Arabidopsis thaliana: one gene and its partner. The protein of the gene in region 2 interacts with the protein of the main gene of each other region in a biochemical or structural test. Each region holds a gene or a part of one and is shown on either strand. Other genes may lie near its edges.

Region 1 (4,451 bases), on a different chromosome or scaffold from region 2:
CAAGAAAGTAGGAATCATTCTGGCTGAGAAGTTGATGATTGTGATGATCATCAGACCCATTGGACTTCTTGATCTCTTCCTGTGGACTAGACTTAATTTCTTTCTGATGATTGGATTTGGTTTCTTCTTGTGGACTGGACTTCATTTCGTCCTTGGGACTAGGTTTGGTTACTTCTTGGGGATTAGACTTGATTTCTTCTCGACGACTTGCTTTGATCTTTCCCAAGGGATTTGATTTGATCTCTCCTGAGGAATTTGAATTCGGTTCTTGTTGGGGAAGAGAAGCACTATCCTCTATATGTAAAGGTAGTGACTTTGGTGATGATCCTATAGCTTCTTCCTCAGCAATCATCTGAATAAGAAGAAGGCAACCAGCTCACGTAACTAAGTGTATGTAGTCATTATCTGAAGTATATAAATAGAGAAAGTTACTGACCTCGGAATGTAGCTTGTCGAGGATATCAAGAGCATTACGATGATATGATCTTTCAGCTTCAACCTGCGTTGGTAATTTCATTTCATATCCAATCCAGGGACATGTAAACAATCATGAGCTTTGAAAGGAGATTTACCAGAGCACGGAGGCGCTGAGAAGTTACGTTCTGCTGCTGATCGTCGACTTCCAACATGGCCTTAGTAGCTTCTTTACCAAGAGTTTTCATACTTGATTTGAGCTCAGCCAATCTCGATTCAGAATTCTTAAGTTTTATGTAGGCTTCTTCAGAAATATCAGATTCCTTCAACTTTGATCTTCTCCTCAGTACATCAGTTGCCTGTTAATCGAAAGCTTTAAATGCCGCAAGAAATTCAAGGTGCCTCAAAACAAACAAAAGAGAAGTTCAACAAGACTTTACCTGAGCTTCGACTTCTTGTCTCAGCCTGTCATAGTGATTCACCAAATGCCGAGCATCCTCCAAAGGCGCACTATATATCATTGTACGAATTGGCTCACAAACCTACACAAATCAAATTACTGTAACTACACTCACAAAGTTCTCTTGACAGACCCTGCCCGGTAAAGATTAGAGAATAATATATAAACGTTCCAAGAAATTTACCTGCTCACTAAGAACTCCGAGGAGAGTTTCCCTCTCGCCTTCCACCGACTTGTAAGAGGTCCCAAAGTGATGTGCGACTCTTGATAGAGGAGTATTAGCATCAGGATTCTCATCTCCATATTTCTTGAAATCTTCAGCAAACTTCAACCCTATGGACATACACCATTACAAATGTGATTCCAAGAAGCACTATATGAGATGAAGTAGGAAACAAGAACATACCTATCTCAACAACCTTTGTGCCAGTCGCAATGAAACCTTCGAGTCCACGAACAATGTTCCTTTGCAAACGCTATGAACAGAACAACTTTGATAAGCCAAAACTAAAGAGATTATTATCCGAGAAAGCCTCAACAAAAAACCTAAAATATCTTTACCTTAGCAGCTTTAGTAGAGCTATAAAGATCTTGAAGTTTCTGATGACAATGAAGCTCTTCTTCATCAACAACAACAGCATCAGCATTAACATGCCCTAAATGCTTCAAAACCGCCTGCACAAAAACCAGATTATTTTTTTAATACAAATAAAGAAACCTACACAAATAACACAATCTTGTCTGATATTATTAGAAGGTAATCTAAACCTAAAATCAAAACAAAAAAGGCAAAATCTATGTCTAAAACAAGAAAAAAGTCCCATACTTTTCACCTAACTATAACCAATTCATACCTCAACAATCCTATCTACCCCCAAGACTATAAATTAACCATCAACCACTTCAAAGATTCCACCTTTATTAGAAATCCATACAACAAATTCTTCTCAGTAACCAGACATATAAATCTAAGAACACAGAAATCTATTACAAGCAGAAAGAAACCCACTTGCTGTTGCCTCGCGACTTGCTCTCTGAGCTTCGCAGCTTGCTTTCTTATAGCTTCCATGGCTTTCACCAAAAACAAATCAGACTCAAGTCGGTTTCTTCAGTACCAAACCAATAGATCGAGAGGTTTCGCCAAAAGGGTAGTTGAAATTACTTAATTAGAAGAAGCAGAGAGATTAAAGGTTGAGTTTTTTTGCAATAGATCTTTAACTCTCTTCTTTACAGGTAAGGTAACAGTCTGAGAAACAAAAAGGTAACGACAATGGAATGAATTAGTGGAGAAAGTTGAAGAAGCTAACTCCTTTGGTTTCAACACTTTCTTTTTGAGTGGTCTTCAATTTTGTACTTCTTTAACTTTATTTTTATTTTTAATGATGTTTCATTTTTATATTTTTCCTTAATCGTCTTTAATTAACGAAAGCTTATTATTCTGTCTATTTTAATGGCAATTATTTATTGGACCGCATGTCAAAAAATATTATTATCTTCATTTCTTTGTTTATTTGGCGAATATCGTTTTCAACATGAGGTTATCATATAACTTTCATAACAATAAAATAAATTTAAGACTTATATAATTAGTCAATTGCTGTCAAAATAAATTAAAATACTAGTCAATTTCTTCGGTCACTTTTTTGGACTGTAACTGATATGGTTAGGGCCGGGCAAAATATTCGTTCGATCCGCTTCGATTCGGTATTTGATTTGATTTGATTCGAAAAATCCAAATATCCGTAAGATTTTGGACCAAAACAAATAGGAAAATGTAGTATTCGTAAAAACCGAATCAAATAACGAATATTGTTTTTTAAAAAATCGAATATCCACTTCGATCCGTATCTTTTTATATATATTAAAAATATAGTTATATCTATATATAGATATCATAAATAGTTTGTGTATTGTTGCCATTTTATGTTTTTATGTTAAGATATTTGTTTGTTCATTTTTTTTTCATGTTATGTTTTGATCAATGGCATCAAAAACTATAGGTTTTAGTTTTTGGAATTAGTTTGATAACATTTTGCTGACCGATGATACCAACAACGGTTGTGTTTGGTATTTAAAACTTATTTTGAAAGCATGTTTAATAAAAACTTTGAATATCTGATATGGTTATATAGTATACAAATTTTTTTTAATATTTAAATGTATCAAAGCGGATATCCGCAAATATCACAAAAAATTCCGGATATTCGAAATTCCGGATATCCGGAAATTTTCGAAGCAAAGCAAATCACAAAATCAAGTATTCGTTAAAACGAATCGAATAACAAATATCACAATTTTTCCGGATATCTGCTTCGTGCCTAGACCTAAATATGGCTATTTGATTTTAGGAAGAAATTTAATTTAGTAAGTAGAGATATTATTTATACTGAATATTCATTACATTGCAATAATTATGAATATCAGATAATAAAAACGCTAGCTCTTAACGGCAACGTTTGCTTCATAAGTTCCCGGAGCAATCCATGCGTTGAAACGATACCGTTTTGGTCTCCAAGTCATAGCCAACAAGGAAATCCATTTGAACCATGTTTCCGTATATAGCAACTTCAGTTGTCGGAATCATACTCAAGCACACTGTATCTTCATTTAGTTTCACGAACGCGTTTATCGGACTCAGCTTCACGTCGGCGTTCGTGAAATGCATTGTTATCGCCGGCAAACCGATCTCTTTGTCTCCGGATTTGAAACAATGTGTTAAAAGCCCTTGTGGATCACTCACACGCTTTGCTCCGGTTACTGATTCTTCCACGGCCGTACCAAAGTCATCGTAAAATCCTGAGTCGAGAAGGGTAAGGGTTGTACCGGAATCGATTATGATGTTTCCGGTTCTCTTTGATGATTTCCCGTTTAATCCGTATCCTCCTCCGGTGTATGGAAGCTTGGTTTTGCCGACGGTGACTGCTTCGAGTGTCAAGAAATAGTAAGTCTCGGGGTCTTTTTGGATTAAGGGTGTAGTGAGCGTAGCGGAGTCTTTGCTTGGATTGGAAGGTATCGAGTTGGTTCCTAGGTTTATGACGCTTGTGCCGTTTGTTGTAGCTGCCGTGTGTGACAAGCAATACGAGAATTTCTTCCCTATGGAAGAACCAAGCTGGGAAACTAACGATAATGGACCACCTCCGAGTCCGATGATTCCGGATCCGGTTTCTTCGAATGTACCACCGTTGTTGTAGCCGCAACCAAAGACAGTACCGGGGAAAGAAACAGAGGAGCCAGAGGAAGAATCAATGGAGATTGTTTCGGTCGCAACATCTCCTTTGGTAAACGAATTATCTCCATAAGAGTAACGGTATTTGCAGATGTCTTTAGATTCGTCGCATCCTTCTTCGTGTTCGGACAAGGCTTGACAGGTTTTTGAATCGCAAGATTCTGTTTTGTAGGTGGAAGATTTCTTCTTGTCGAAGAGTGGACTGTTTTGTTTGTAACATTGTTGACATGGCTTACATTGGACCCAAGTTAGGTCACTTCCCGTGTCAGCAATGGCGAAAACTTTCGACGGTGGAGTACCGATTGAGATGGACATGAAGTATTCGCCGCCATTTGAGATTAAACCGGATTG
Region 2 (4,451 bases):
AGACATTGAATATAGTTCACGCTACAAAGCCAGAAGTAAAGGCTCTCAAGTCAGCTCTAGCTCCTCCATAACCACTGATATAGTTCATGCTACATCACATTTCATTACGTGATGGCTCTAAATTCTACACCCTTAACTTCTTTCACGCAAGCAAGCCCTCAGATTTGAAAACCAATGACAAGATATAAAGAACAATGACCCATTTGTAGTCATATGAAATGAAATTTTGCATATGAATGACCCTAACAGCAGATTAAAGGTTGAAGATTTCTCTTGTAAGTTCTACAAAGTACACATAAGAGAACCTTGTATGCTAGCAAAAAGCTCTTCAGTAAGACCTAATATAGTTCATGCTACATGTCATCATGTAATTGTTATGGCTCTAAGTTCTAGACCCTTGAGTAAACTCTCAAGTCAGTTTTAAGGAGAAACAAATTTGAAGAGCAATGTCATTCAAAATTGGATATGAATGACAAGCAAAAGGTTGAAGCTTTTGAGAGCAATATAAAAAAAACTTGTAGACTTGTAGTATCCAAGTAAACAGCTATCCATAAGCATTATACAGTTCAAGCAAACCAAAATCTAAGCTTCATACCCTTAACTAAAATCACGCTAGCAAGCTTTCAAATTTGAAGAGAACAGCTTCCATAAGCACCAAATGCTACTACATTTCATGCTCTAAGCTCTATACCGTTTATTCATTTCATGCAAGAAAGCTCCCTAGCTAGTAACCATAAACAGAAGAAGAGTGAATGAATTCTTACCGTTTAGCTGGAGGAGAGCTAGTGCGACCAAACCCGGGAATTAAATCATCAAAAATGGAACTACCCTTCTCCTCTCGGTCACTCTCTTTCTTCCCCAAATTGTTTCCCATGAGATCATCGAAAGGAGAACTGTTCTGTTTCCTGTGCTTCGTAGGAGAAGATGAGATAGAAGAGAAAACATTCTCAAACCTAGCTGACTGAGAAGAAGTGGAAGGGATTTTGAGCTCAGGAATAGACTCAAACACATCCTCATCATCATACACAGGCTTATCATAAACCGGCATAGACGACGCTGATTTGGATTTGGGTTCCTTGAACATAACATCATAGTCAAAAGCAGGAGCAGATGGAGAACGAGAATCACCAGAAGATCCATACTTTGGTGGTGGTCCGCTAAACACATCTCTGAAGAGAAGATCATCACCATCTCGACCAAGATCGTCAAACACCGGCAAAGAATCCGACTTTTTACCAGCGGCAGAGGCGAAGCTATAAGAAGAAGCGAAAGTGTTGAAATCAGCGGCAGAAGAGTTTGATTGAGAAGCCATGGGCGCAGATTTGCCTTGAGGTTTCAATCCGAAGTCTCTCGCTAACAATCCTGTGAAATCATCCATTGGATTCCTTTAAATTCTCTAGCTCCGAATTCGAAAAGCTTTAGATTTTGCCCACTAGAAATGAAGAAGAGGTTATCTTCAGATCTGAGTCGCCATTAACGAATCGGATCAAAGCATTTGATTTTTTAAAAAGCTCTTTTTTCTTCGTTTTCCGACTTGTTTATGGTTTCTTCTCCGACTCGTACATGTTTCCCAGTCTTCATAATTTCTTCATTATTGCTAAATGGGTCCTAAAGTTTCAGAAATAACAAATTTGGTCTCCAAAATCTTAAAAAAATAAAAAAAGTAATTCCTTAGAGTTGATCCTCAATATATATAAACTTATAATTATATTAATTACCAAAATACAATTATATGTTTAACATTTTCTATAGCAATGAAACTCTTAGAATTATCAAAATATGTAGAAAATATTTGTCAATGTACAATTTTGTTTTTTTTGTGAATAAATTTTGGTATTTTACATTGGTTCAAAACCAAAATGAATAAATCCAAAACTCTAGCCAAAGTATCACCGAATTTATAAGACTTGGGGGACCCAAATTGAAAACTCTGAAACTTTAGGACCCATTTAGCAAAAACGAAGAAATTATGAAGACACCCAGTCGGAGAAGAAACCAGAGACAAGTTGGGAAAACGAAGAAAGAAAAAAAGAGAGCTTTTTTAAAAATCAAATGCTTTGATCCGATTCGTTAATGGCGACTCAGATCTGAAGATAATCTCTTCTTCATTTCTGGTGGGCAAAATCTAAAGCTTTTCGAATTCGGAGCTAGAGAATTTAAAGGAATCCAATGGATGATTTCACAGGATTGTTAGCGAGAGACTTCGGATTGAAACCTCAGGGAAAATCAGCTCCCATGGCGTCTCAATCGAACTCTTCTGCCGCTGATTTCAACACTTTCGCTTCTTCTTATAGCTTCGCCACCGCCGCCGGTAAAAAGTCCGATTCTTTGCCGGTGTTTGACGATCCTGGTCGAGATGGTGATGATCTTCTCTTCAAAGATGTGTTTAGTGGACCACCACCACCAAAGTACGGATCTTCTTCTGGTGATTCACGTTCTCCATCTGCTCCTGCTTTTGACTATGATGCTATGTTCAAGGAACCCAAATCCAAATCAGCGTCGTCTATGCCGGTTTATGACAAGCCTGTGTATGATGATGAGGATGTGTTTGAGTCTATTCCTGAGCTCAAAATCCCTTCCACTTCTTCTCAGTCAGCTAGGTTTGAGAATGTTTTCTCTTCTATCTCATCTTCTCCTACGAAGCACAGGAAACAGAACAGTTCTCCTTTCGATGATCTCATGGGAAACAATTTGGGGAAGAAAGGGGCAGATAGTGACCGAGAGGAGAAGGGTAGTTCCATTTTTGATGATTTGATTCCTGGGTTTGGTCGCACTAGCTCTCCTCCATCTAAGCGGTAATATTCATTCACTAGTTGCTTTTTCTTTATCTGTGGTTACTAGTTAGGGTCACTCACTGCCATTTAAATTTGAGAGCTTGCTTGCGTGAAATGACTCTTTGAATTGTAGAGCTTAGAGTATGAAATGTAGCATTTAGTACTTATGGAGAACTGTTTCCTTGTATGTAGAGCTGTTTGATTCCCTGGTTTCGATATGTTATTTACTATGTACCTTCATCTGTGGTTACTGGTTAGGGTCATTGCTCTTCAAATTTTAGAGCTTGCTTGCGTGGCATGAGTCATGGCTCTTCAAACGTACATAATGATGAAGTTGATATTAGTGATTATGGAGCTTGGTTGGTCACAGAGCTTGGATATTGGTTCTTTTATGAATACTCTCTAAAACTTGAGTGAGAAATCTGGAAAAAAAAACTTTAGAAACTTCAAGATTCATGTCATTCATATGCACAATCTCATTTTTGATCTGTGGCTACGGTCATTGCCTTAATAATTAGTTTCTCCTAGACCTGTGGTTACTAGTTAGGGTTGCTCCTGTCACCTTCTCTCTTTAAATTTGAGAGCTTGCTTGTGTGAAATGACTCAAAGGGTATAGAGCTTAGAGACATCATGCTTTCATAATTGTAGTGCCTTTATCTCTGGCTTTGTAGCATGCACTCTATTCAGTGTCTTTATATCCTGACATTGCTCTTCAAATTTGTTTCCCCAGACCTGTCTTAAGAGCTTGCTCAAGGGTATAAAGCTTAGAGCCATCACGCCTTACATAATCATAATGCAATGTAGCATGAACTATATTTATTAGTGCTTCAATTTGCTTGCATACTATACAGATTTCTCTTATGCGTAGTTTTCTAACTTAATTTCATTTTGATTTTTGTTGGTATAGGCATAACTTGTTTACCAATTGATTGATACTCTACTCTTTTTGTGCAGGACAACTTCAGAGACAACAAATCAATCCGAGAAAGCTCCATATCGAACTGCCGAGACATCTTCCAATGTGGAAGAAGACCCGTTTGTAGTCTTGGAGGAGTCTGAATCAACCCCTAGAGAACCCTCCCGTACTGATCCATTGGACGATATTGGTAAATTCAACAGCAGAAAAACTGATCATTCATCTGTCCACGGAGGAGTATTTGTTGATATTGACCCTCTTGATAATCTAGGAAAACCAGGGCCGGATATGAATAGTAAAGGGAAGAGTCATTTAAGACCACCAGGAAACATCAGTGGCTCCCAGTCACCACCAGTAGAAAGCCCTGGGAGTTACCATTCTAAGAAAGTTTCATTTGAAGATTTTTTAGAGCCACATAATATGAGTACTCCACCACCTACCAATTCAAATGGAAGTTTCGAGTCGTCTGATGATGTGTGGCTTACTGTATCCGAGATCCCCCTCTTTACGCAACCTACGAGTGCTCCGCCACCTACGAGACCTCCACCACCAAGACCTACACGTCCTATTAAAAAGAAGGTTAATGAGCCTTCTATACCGACGTCTGCTTACCACTCACACGTTCCTAGCTCAGGAAGAGCTTCTGTAAATAGCCCGACAGCATCTCAAATGGATGAACTCGACGATTTTTCTATTGGCAGAAATCAGACCGCTGCGAATGGATATCCTGATCCTTCCTCTGGTGAAGATTCAGATGTTTT

The links. Proteins that work in one complex are often made in the same cells at the same time.
Region 1: the proteins of AT4G12780 (region 2) and AT1G31440 form a complex in vitro, tested with the Arabidopsis thaliana proteins (one study listed by BioGRID).

Annotation. Positions count from the first base shown.
Region 1 is NC_003070.9:11,256,537-11,260,987, forward strand, and holds the start of AT1G31440 (SH3 domain-containing protein), read right to left. Parts: upstream 2,279-4,451; 5' UTR 1,944-2,278; coding exon 1,884-1,943; intron 1,550-1,883; coding exon 1,436-1,549; intron 1,351-1,435; coding exon 1,281-1,350; intron 1,208-1,280; coding exon 1,059-1,207; intron 957-1,058; coding exon 855-956; intron 774-854; coding exon 573-773; intron 500-572; coding exon 437-499; intron 353-436; coding exon 1-352. Other genes in the region: AT1G31450 (Eukaryotic aspartyl protease family protein), read right to left, coding at 3,336-4,451. UniProt on the Arabidopsis thaliana protein: Lipid binding protein bound strongly to phosphatidic acid, phosphatidylinositol-4-phosphate and phosphatidylinositol-4,5-bisphosphate. Binds actin in vitro. Involved in trafficking and modification of clathrin-coated vesicles.
Region 2 is NC_003075.7:7,510,031-7,514,481, forward strand, and holds the start of AT4G12780 (Chaperone DnaJ-domain superfamily protein), read left to right. Parts: upstream 1-1,976; 5' UTR 1,977-2,169; coding exon 2,170-2,795; intron 2,796-3,728; coding exon 3,729-4,451. Other genes in the region: AT4G12770 (Chaperone DnaJ-domain superfamily protein), read right to left, coding at 765-1,378. UniProt on the Arabidopsis thaliana protein: Promotes uncoating of clathrin-coated vesicles. May interact directly with clathrin.